Drosophila melanogaster: one gene and its partner. The protein of the gene in region 2 purifies or fractionates together with the protein of the main gene of each other region. This does not show direct contact. Each region holds a gene or a part of one and is shown on either strand. Other genes may lie near its edges.

Region 1 (4,992 bases), 5.4 Mb from region 2:
AATAACATACCTCCACATCAAAGCATTTGCTGATAATCCTAACCAGATCGTCGTCCCGCTCGCGCACTTTGTATACAACGTCGTCGCGGGCGCACAGGCGACACCAGTATATCCAATCGCTTGTGGGAACTCCCATGGCTAATCCTCAACAGAAGCCCCACAGTTTGGTACAGTATGCCCTCGGGTTTTGACTAAATTCTATTGCCAAAGCGCTGATTAAAATCAGCTGTATGGAGCGGAATTCCGAATCGATTAATTGGTATGCGCACTCCGATGATTTTTGGAAATATCGATAAGTGCAAAACAACAAGTTGTTGCCGCCATTTTCAAAAAGTATTCAGTTTAAATTTGGAATTGAAAATTGTATTTATTTTACTTTTTTTTCTCAATCATAAGAAGTATTACTAACGTTTTCCTTCCTGCGTGTCGATGTTTATTAACATAGAGATGTATTATCATCATCATTTGGATGTGGTTTCCCAGGGATATAATGTTGTTTTTAAAACATGCGACCGAGTTTTTACTCTGGTATATATATATAAACAATATAATAATTTATTTTCGACTTACATATAAGAAAAACTGTGTATAACAAAAACTAATTTTAGCACATTTGCTTAATATAACAAAATGGAATGATAAACTACATCTCAACGTCTTCCATATCGTTCGCCCCACTCTCCACCCAATTCTCGATGGTGTAATAGGCTTTTAGAGCCAATTCGTCGTCCAGCGTCGGCTCGCCAAGCACCAAAGGGCCCAATTGCTTGTCGACCATAACGTCTTGCCAGAATTCGCTGCGATTCTTGGCCAGCGCGATCTTCTTCAGCTCCTCAGCGAACTTGTCGTATTCCAAAAAGGTGTTGAAGTCTATACAGCTCTGTCGGTACAGGGTGATGAGCTCGCCCAGTTGCCCGATGTTCTGTTTCCTGCGCTGCAGCAGTGTGATGATCACCACGCGGGTATCGGCAGCCAGCGCCTGAAAGCGGGCATCTCGCTCAGTGGCATTACTGATTGTGTGAACGCTAGCCAGGACTCGCCTGAAATCAGAGATTGGATCAATTAAGCCCACACCGTCTGATGGCAACGGGATTTCCTTCTCCGCTGGTTCCGACTTGACTGCCACACCATTCTCTGCCTGCTCCTTGGCCAACAGCTTTTCCTGCCAGGCGCGACTATAGCGCAATGGAAATAGCTTCTTTACGATGGCTGCCGCTCTCTTTGACTTCTCCTCCAAGGGATCTGGCACTCGCCAGAATACATCTGCGAAGTTTTTGTCCTTAAGCATTTTGTCTTCCTTGTCGTTATCATAGATAACTTTTCGCTCTAGGATGTCCATGACATTCTGCTCAAAGATGCTGGGAAGTGCGTCGAACGGCAGCAGATCATTCTGCGCCCACGGACGTGGCTGCTGCGTGTCCCGCAGTGTGCACTCCAGATCGGTGCTATCGATTAACTGATCAATGGCATTCAGCTGTTCCTCGCTGCACTCCGTCTTGGTGGTTCGCAGTGCCGGAAAGTCCCAGAAGTGGTGCTGAGACGTATAGGAAACTTCCAGCATATACAAAGTAGCCGGATGGGTATCGTCTGCTAAGCGGGGCAGTAGCACAACCATTTGCGGTCTATTAAACTTGGTGCTATATATTTTCCAGCACAGTATGGCCCGATCCGAAGAAACGAGAGCACGCACCAGAGCGTCCAGCTTCACGGCGGCAGATTGATTGTGCTTCTGATGCACCAGGAGGTACAAGGACTCGCCACAAAAGTACTCATCCGGCACGGCATTTCTTTTGATAAAGCCAAAGAAGTGGAGACCAGGTGGGTGTGGTTCCTTTGGCTCTAGCACGGCCTCGTCGTATGGCACCGGAGTGCCGCCCAGCATGTAACCGGTTATCAGATTCTCCGGCAGCGGGGTGATCTCAGTGCCTTTGATATAATGACGAGTCTCCCGTATCACTATCTCATCCTTTTCCGCCCAGACCTTTACCAGCTTTACGGGCGTCTGGTTCTTCATGGCGATTATGCCCTGCAGGCTAATGGAGATCTTGCTGCCGATGTTCAGCTTTGCGTTCCACACCCAGGGTCGCCGGTTGGTCACCTTGAAGACGGTATGCAGTGCCTCCTTGAAGCTGCACAACGTCGCATTGCAGCGAGGAACGAGACTGAGGGCGTACTTCTGGTTATTCAGCTCATCGGGGCCGCATTTGCGCGAAAAGTTGAAAATAGCCTGAGGCTGAGAAGTGATGGCATTGTCTATGTAGGCTATGTTGTGAGTTCTAAGTGATAATGTAAATTATTATTACTATTATGCATTTAACAAAATAAATAATCTTACCCCACAATTAACTCGATGTTTTCGCCAAGTAATTCGTCCGTGATTTCGTTGAACTTCTCGTAGTCCTGTGGAAAGTCGTTGAAATCGAAGAGCAGGAGGATCCTCCGCCTGGCGACTCTCAAGCTGCAAGGAATATTCCATAAAATGTGATGGTTAGATGATAAGGTAAGTCACATACGTAGTTGCGACATTCTGAAGCTCCAGGGCCGCCTGTAGACCATTTAGCCATTCTCCATCCTCGCAGGCTGTCTTATTCACAAACTGGAAGAATTCCAGCAAGAGCTGCCAGCTGCAAAGTCTTGGTTCACCAAAGGGCAGCACATTTGGGTGGGAAGCATCCTCAGTTTTTATTTCATCGGTGTCGCAACCCACGAGGACGAAGGACACGTAGTCCTTCCTATCGCACACGATCTGCAATTGTTTCAGTTAGCATATTTAACTGAGTTCCCAATTGTATTTCACACACCTTGTCCTTAAGAATCTCCGCCACACATTTTGCGGACTTCAGCTTCACTTCTTCGGCGGCACATGTTCGCACATCCAGTACAATTATAAGGCATTCCTGGAAATCAAACAATGGAGATACCTTAACATTAAATGCGATTATTTGTGAACCTACCTTGTTAGAAGCCATCAAACAAGTTTATTTACCTAAATTCAGCGACTATGTTTTTAAATTTCACAACAATAATACCATTCAGTCGATAACAGAAAACACCGGCGGCTTACTGACCTAATGCACTACCACCTATCGCTTATCGATATTTCTAGCACCGCGTTGCCAACTTACTTGCTAACTGTTACTTTTCATAAAAACGAAATGCAAAATTTTGTTTTAATTATAAATAGTCAATATATTTGGTTCGTGCTCAAAATACTAATAAAATAGTAAGCAATAGTTCCCCATATCTCCCTATGCCTTTCCGTAGGTCTGCAGCTTTTCCAGATACTCCGCATTCTGGCTCAGGTGATTGAATATCAAGTTCGTATCGAGGACATTCGTCGCAGGACCTCCATATTCCGCAGGCAAACTTTCGTAGCCAACCATTTCGCGCAGCTTGCTCAGATGTCGCCCATCGTGGGTAAAGATCTTTTAAACGAAGCATTTTTAGAGTGAACAAATTAAATCCTTATATTTTTTTTTACCTTTTCTTTGAACTCCTTGTTCATGAAGGGCATAAACAAAGTGGAGGTTACGTGCATCAGGAAACCTCGTTGTATTATATGCACGATGCGCTGACTGAAGGGCAGAACTCCGTTCTTTTCGTTTACCACCTTCATAAACGCCGGCGAAAATTGCCTGAGAAAATTTCGATTTGTCCTGGAATTTAATAATCGGAAAAATAAAAATAAATAAAAATAGACTATTGGGAAAAGAAATTAAAGAAAAATACCATTTTTCAAAAATATTTTAGATTCAATTCACAAAATCATTGAATAAATTTAAACTGTAAAATATACTTTTAAAAACACAAATAATACTTGAAATGCGTTTTCATCTTACTATACATACTAAGTAATACTACTAATCAAGATAATATTGAGAATAAATAAGCGTAACTTTTGTGTAATAATAATTTTATAGGATATAACACACCCTTGAAGATCACAAATGACCGTAATCCCATTCTGTTGGACGCGCGGGAGCAGCAGCAGCGACTCGAAGATCAGGTCGTCCATCTCGACGAGACTCTGCAGATAGTCGGGATAGTCCTGGAACCCATCCACCGTCTTAAAGACGACCAGCACCCGTCCACTGCGATCCGCCTGGGGCATAACATAGCGACAGTGGGTGCCGTAGAAGAGCTGACGATAGTGCTCAATGGGATGACGGGCCACCCAGGTGGGATGGCGTCGCTTGAACTCATAGTAGTCGTGTATGGCCTGATAGGCCTTGATTGTGTCCCAGCGCGTGTAGTGCAGAAACTTGGTCAGCAGGGTGTCCTCGGTGCCCACTCTTAGGTCCTCGCATTCTGAAACAGTTTCATCTGGCTGATCGAATCGAGGAATTCACACACAGCATTTAGCTTACTCTCCACCAGCTGCCTGAGTTGCTCAATTTTGAAAATCTGCTCGGCCGTGTGATCGACACGGGCGGTGAGGAAAAGCATTTTGGGTTTAGGCTTTGAATTTTGAACGAAATATCGTCCAAAGGTGTTATAGAATTTTGATCGGTTGCTTTTCAAGAGCCAGAAGTTTCACATTTACACACTCAATCCGTTAACGATCCGCACTCGCAACGCAAACAACGCTCACTGACTAAAGTATCCATGAAATGCGATTTGGTGTAGATGGTTTATTTGCTTTATAACCGGTGCGTGCTCAAATTGCTAATGGTTCCAAATTGCCTAGAAATACATATCTAGTTTTCAGCTTGAACTTGGCTTCTATGGTGATTTATTGCTTTTAGTATGTAAATAAAATCTTTTAGAAAAGTAAATCGATATTATAATAAACAAATCTAATAATATAATTTCTTTAAAATTTTTTTAAATCTTTACGAATTCTTTCTTAAACGAATGGTATTTAATCAATGCTGCAAAGGCCTCTTCTTCGCTGAAGTTATCAACTTGACCTAACCACGTATCTTAGCCACAATTCAATTATGACGGAGGTGGGTGGGTGGCCAAAGGAGTCGGGTGTTGAGAAAAAGTCAA
Region 2 (3,684 bases):
CGCACGACATAGATGGGAAAATCTGTACCGCAACATATTGCATGCGGCCAGAAACAGGCAACTGATCACGCAACTGGAGAAGGAGCTGGAACGTTTGATACTGGAGCGCGAAGATCTCTCTCGTGAGCTGAACATAATGGAAAACGGACAAACTGCTGACAGGCAAACGGATGAATTCAACGAAGTTGACAATCTCAAAACAAACATAAGTTATATTCAGGAGAATATAGAGCATGTGCAGCAGGCCATAATGGAGTTCGAGGACACAAAGGACACTGTGCAGAGCCATGTGAATAAGATACAAAGTCTGCTGGACGAGGTATCAACCGTGGCGGAAGCCAAATTCATCTTACAAAAGTTCTCCGACACCGCCATTGTCATGTCGTGCAATTTGGCCATTGCCGAATCTCATTTGCAGGAGAAGGAATCGCTGCTGAAGGAAGTTAAGCAAGAGAGCGGCATTCAGCAGCAAATACTGCAGCATTTCCTATCGCAAAACAGCAACGTTCATATAGCAGACATATTTGACTCCTTAAATCTCAAGGGCAGTAATATCGCAAGTAGTGTAAATCCAGGTTCACAAAAGTCTTTGATCAGCAACGCCACATACGACATCCCGCAAGACGACAAGAATTCCGAGTTCCATCAAGTGGAAATGCGCAGGACGACGAGTAGAAGTCCTTCGCCTCTAGGAAATTCCGATCCGTAAGACTGATTGTATTTCATATGTTTTGGATTAACTCTAAACAATATATATTCTTCCTTCAGCTTCGATAAGAGCCCCAAAGTGCGCAGACGTACCGCCAAGCGACAAGATCTGCTTTTTGGGGATACGGAACTTTCAGAACAGGTGAGCGTTACTCATTTTGAAAAATACCTGTTTCTAAATGACGAATATTATGATTTCATCCGCCAGACTTTTAATAAAATGACGTGATCGTGCAATCGAAGATGAGGTCATGTGACCAAAGACGCGGTTGGAATTGAAATATATTGATTGGTAGCCGCTTGGGAACAAATAATAAAAAGACAGTGTCAATAAGTTTCTAAGTTATTATTGTAACTATATTTATTCAAAACTAACTTACTAGTGCTTCCGTTTGTTTTTTTTGAATACCGAGCTAAGGTCTTGTGCAATTGGTGTCTTTGCAGTTGTTCAAAATAAACAAATTTTAGAAAATATTATAATAATGTATTAATAAATTTTATAAGAGACTTAGAACAATACCATGCCTTGAAATATACAACAAAAAACTTAATTTTATCTTTTCCTGTAAGAACAAAGTTCTTCAGCAGCTTTGTGCTAGGTACTAAAATGTTGACCCAAGTTTTGGAGATCCTATATTTTACAGTAAATGTAAATGAATCGATTTAAAAGCATATTCTAATAATAAAAATATATAGTATTGGCTAACATTGTGACCCTTATTAAAATATTGAAAAATTCAAAAAGTGTAATTAGGACAATGTAACAATAAACTGTATAACGTTATATTGAAATTTACAAAATGACTTTTCTTTTGTGGTTAAATAATATTATTTTTAATACATATTTGTAAATAGATTCGTTTGTAAAATTTTGAACTTGATAGCCTGCATGTGATAAAAATAAATCGATAGTCGAATGACCCCAACAAGTGTTTTCGATTACCATTTACTCTTCCGCTATCTTGACATTCATCGAGCTATCGATTTTTACCGGTAATTCGCATTTGCAACTCGCTTCCATGCGCATTTTATTGTATTAAATTTCTACCAATATATCAAATTATAGTTATGTCGGAAACCAGTGGACCCGCAGTGCGCATGCCTTGGTAACTTGTAATTAGATCTTGGAAATCCACAAGTAATACTATTTTCATTTCTTCAGGGTGGAAAAGTACAGACCAAGCGGTCTCGATGATTTGATATCTCACGAGGAAATAATATCAACAAGTGAGCATTCTGAGCGTTTAGCCATACAAAGCCACCACATTTAAGTGTACTTCTAGTAACCCGCTTTATAAGCCGCAAGCAGCTGCCCCATTTGCTGTTCTACGGACCACCTGGCACGGGAAAAACGAGTACAATCCTGGCCTGCGCTCGCCAATTGTATTCCCCTCAGCAGTTTAAGTCCATGGTCCTGGAGCTGAATGCCTCGGATGACCGAGGCATTGGGATTGTGCGCGGTCAAATCCTTAACTTCGCGTCCACACGCACCATTTTCTGCGACACCTTTAAGCTGATCATTTTGGACGAGGCCGATGCCATGACCAACGATGCCCAGAATGCCCTGCGCCGCATAATTGAGAAATATACGGACAACGTGCGCTTCTGTGTGATTTGCAATTATTTGAGCAAAATCATTCCGGCGCTGCAGTCGCGTTGCACCCGTTTTCGGTTCGCTCCATTATCCCAGGATCAGATGATGCCGCGACTGGAAAAAATCATCGAAGCCGAAGCGTAAGGTCTTTCAACTGCATAAAATAGCTTATTACTAACCTAAAATCTATCAACTATCAGCGTTCAGATAACTGAGGACGGCAAGCGGGCACTGCTGACCCTGGCCAAAGGTGATATGAGAAAGGTCTTGAACGTCCTGCAGAGTACCGTGATGGCATTTGATACGGTAAACGAGGATAACGTCTACATGTGCGTGGGCTATCCGTTGAGGCAGGATATTGAACAGATATTGAAGGCCTTGCTATCCGGCAGTAGCTTGGAGGACTCCTTCAAAAGTATGATGCGATTTGAAATGGCGAAAGATCAAAACTAATGATTCTTTCTTCTCTTTGCATAGCTGTCGAAAGTGCCAAGTACGCAAGAGGTCTCGCTTTGGAAGACATCATTACAGAATTGCATTTGTTTGTTATGAGACGTAAGTTTTTATCAAGTTATCATCAAGTCAAGTTATTGATATGTATTCCAAACAGTTGAGCTGCCTATGTCGGTCATGAACAAGCTTATTGTAAAGCTAGCTCAGATCGAGGAGAGATTGGCCAAAGGATGTACAGAAGTGGCTCAAACTGCAGCTCTGGTAGCCGCCTTCTTTATTTGCCGAGATATGGTTTCAATGGAGAAGTGAAACAATGTGTACTCCAATAATAGGTTAGAATTAAATTATAAATACAAAAACATAAAACACAATTTATTTACTGCATGCTTCTCTAGTTTAACAATCATTAAACCTTTTTAAAGTGGTTTCAGAGGTAGGAAATTTTTTTTTGTTTTTTTTTTTTTTTTGGATGATCATGCGAAACAATATATGCATAAAGAGACTAGAATTCTATGACGAATTAATTCCCACACAAGAGAATTGTTTAAAACATTAAGAACATTAAGAATTGTTTTAAACAATATTTAAGAGAACCCCTCTGATCTGTACCATTCGTGGAACTTCTCGATATGCTCAAAGATGCCGCGGTCCTCGCTGCGGCACCATACATCGTCTGGTGTTATGTTGACGCGTTCCAAAGCTGCCTGCGAGGTGTCCTGAATGCGCGGGTCATCCTCTTTAAATCGCAGCACACACGTACCAATGCACTCACCCATGCATGTGCCGTGCTCAAATTCGTAGATAACCAAGTAGAAAAATGGTTCGCCAGGGCATTGAAAGCCCGATTTTAGCACAAGTAAAGTATTTGGATCCTCTTTCGGCAGTGACGGTGAGTTGGGAGCTTTCGCCACAGCTTGTTCCTGCGGCTG

The links. The genes of interacting proteins can lie anywhere in the genome.
Region 1: the proteins of RfC3 (region 2) and Ku80 purify together in Drosophila melanogaster (affinity purification with mass spectrometry, with the first as the bait; one large-scale study listed by BioGRID). This does not show direct contact.

What each region holds. Positions count from the first base shown.
Region 1 is NT_033779.5:15,768,096-15,773,087, forward strand, and holds Ku80 (Ku80), read right to left. Parts: upstream 3,065-4,992; 5' UTR 2,970-3,064; coding exon 2,955-2,969; intron 2,898-2,954; coding exon 2,802-2,897; intron 2,747-2,801; coding exon 2,514-2,746; intron 2,459-2,513; coding exon 2,336-2,458; intron 2,277-2,335; coding exon 644-2,276; 3' UTR 535-643; downstream 1-534. Other genes in the region: wek (weckle), read right to left, coding at 11-136; CG31826 (uncharacterized protein), read right to left, coding at 3,249-3,425, 3,482-3,656, 3,933-4,308, 4,368-4,446.
Region 2 is NT_033779.5:10,417,489-10,421,172, forward strand, and holds RfC3 (replication factor C subunit 3), read left to right. Parts: upstream 1-1,701; 5' UTR 1,702-1,776; coding exon 1,777-1,814; intron 1,815-1,870; coding exon 1,871-1,935; intron 1,936-1,991; coding exon 1,992-2,442; intron 2,443-2,502; coding exon 2,503-2,717; intron 2,718-2,779; coding exon 2,780-2,857; intron 2,858-2,912; coding exon 2,913-3,064; 3' UTR 3,065-3,124; downstream 3,125-3,684. Other genes in the region: Klp31E (Kinesin-like protein at 31E), read left to right, coding at 1-705, 769-850, 917-937; pie (pineapple eye), read right to left, coding at 3,340-3,684.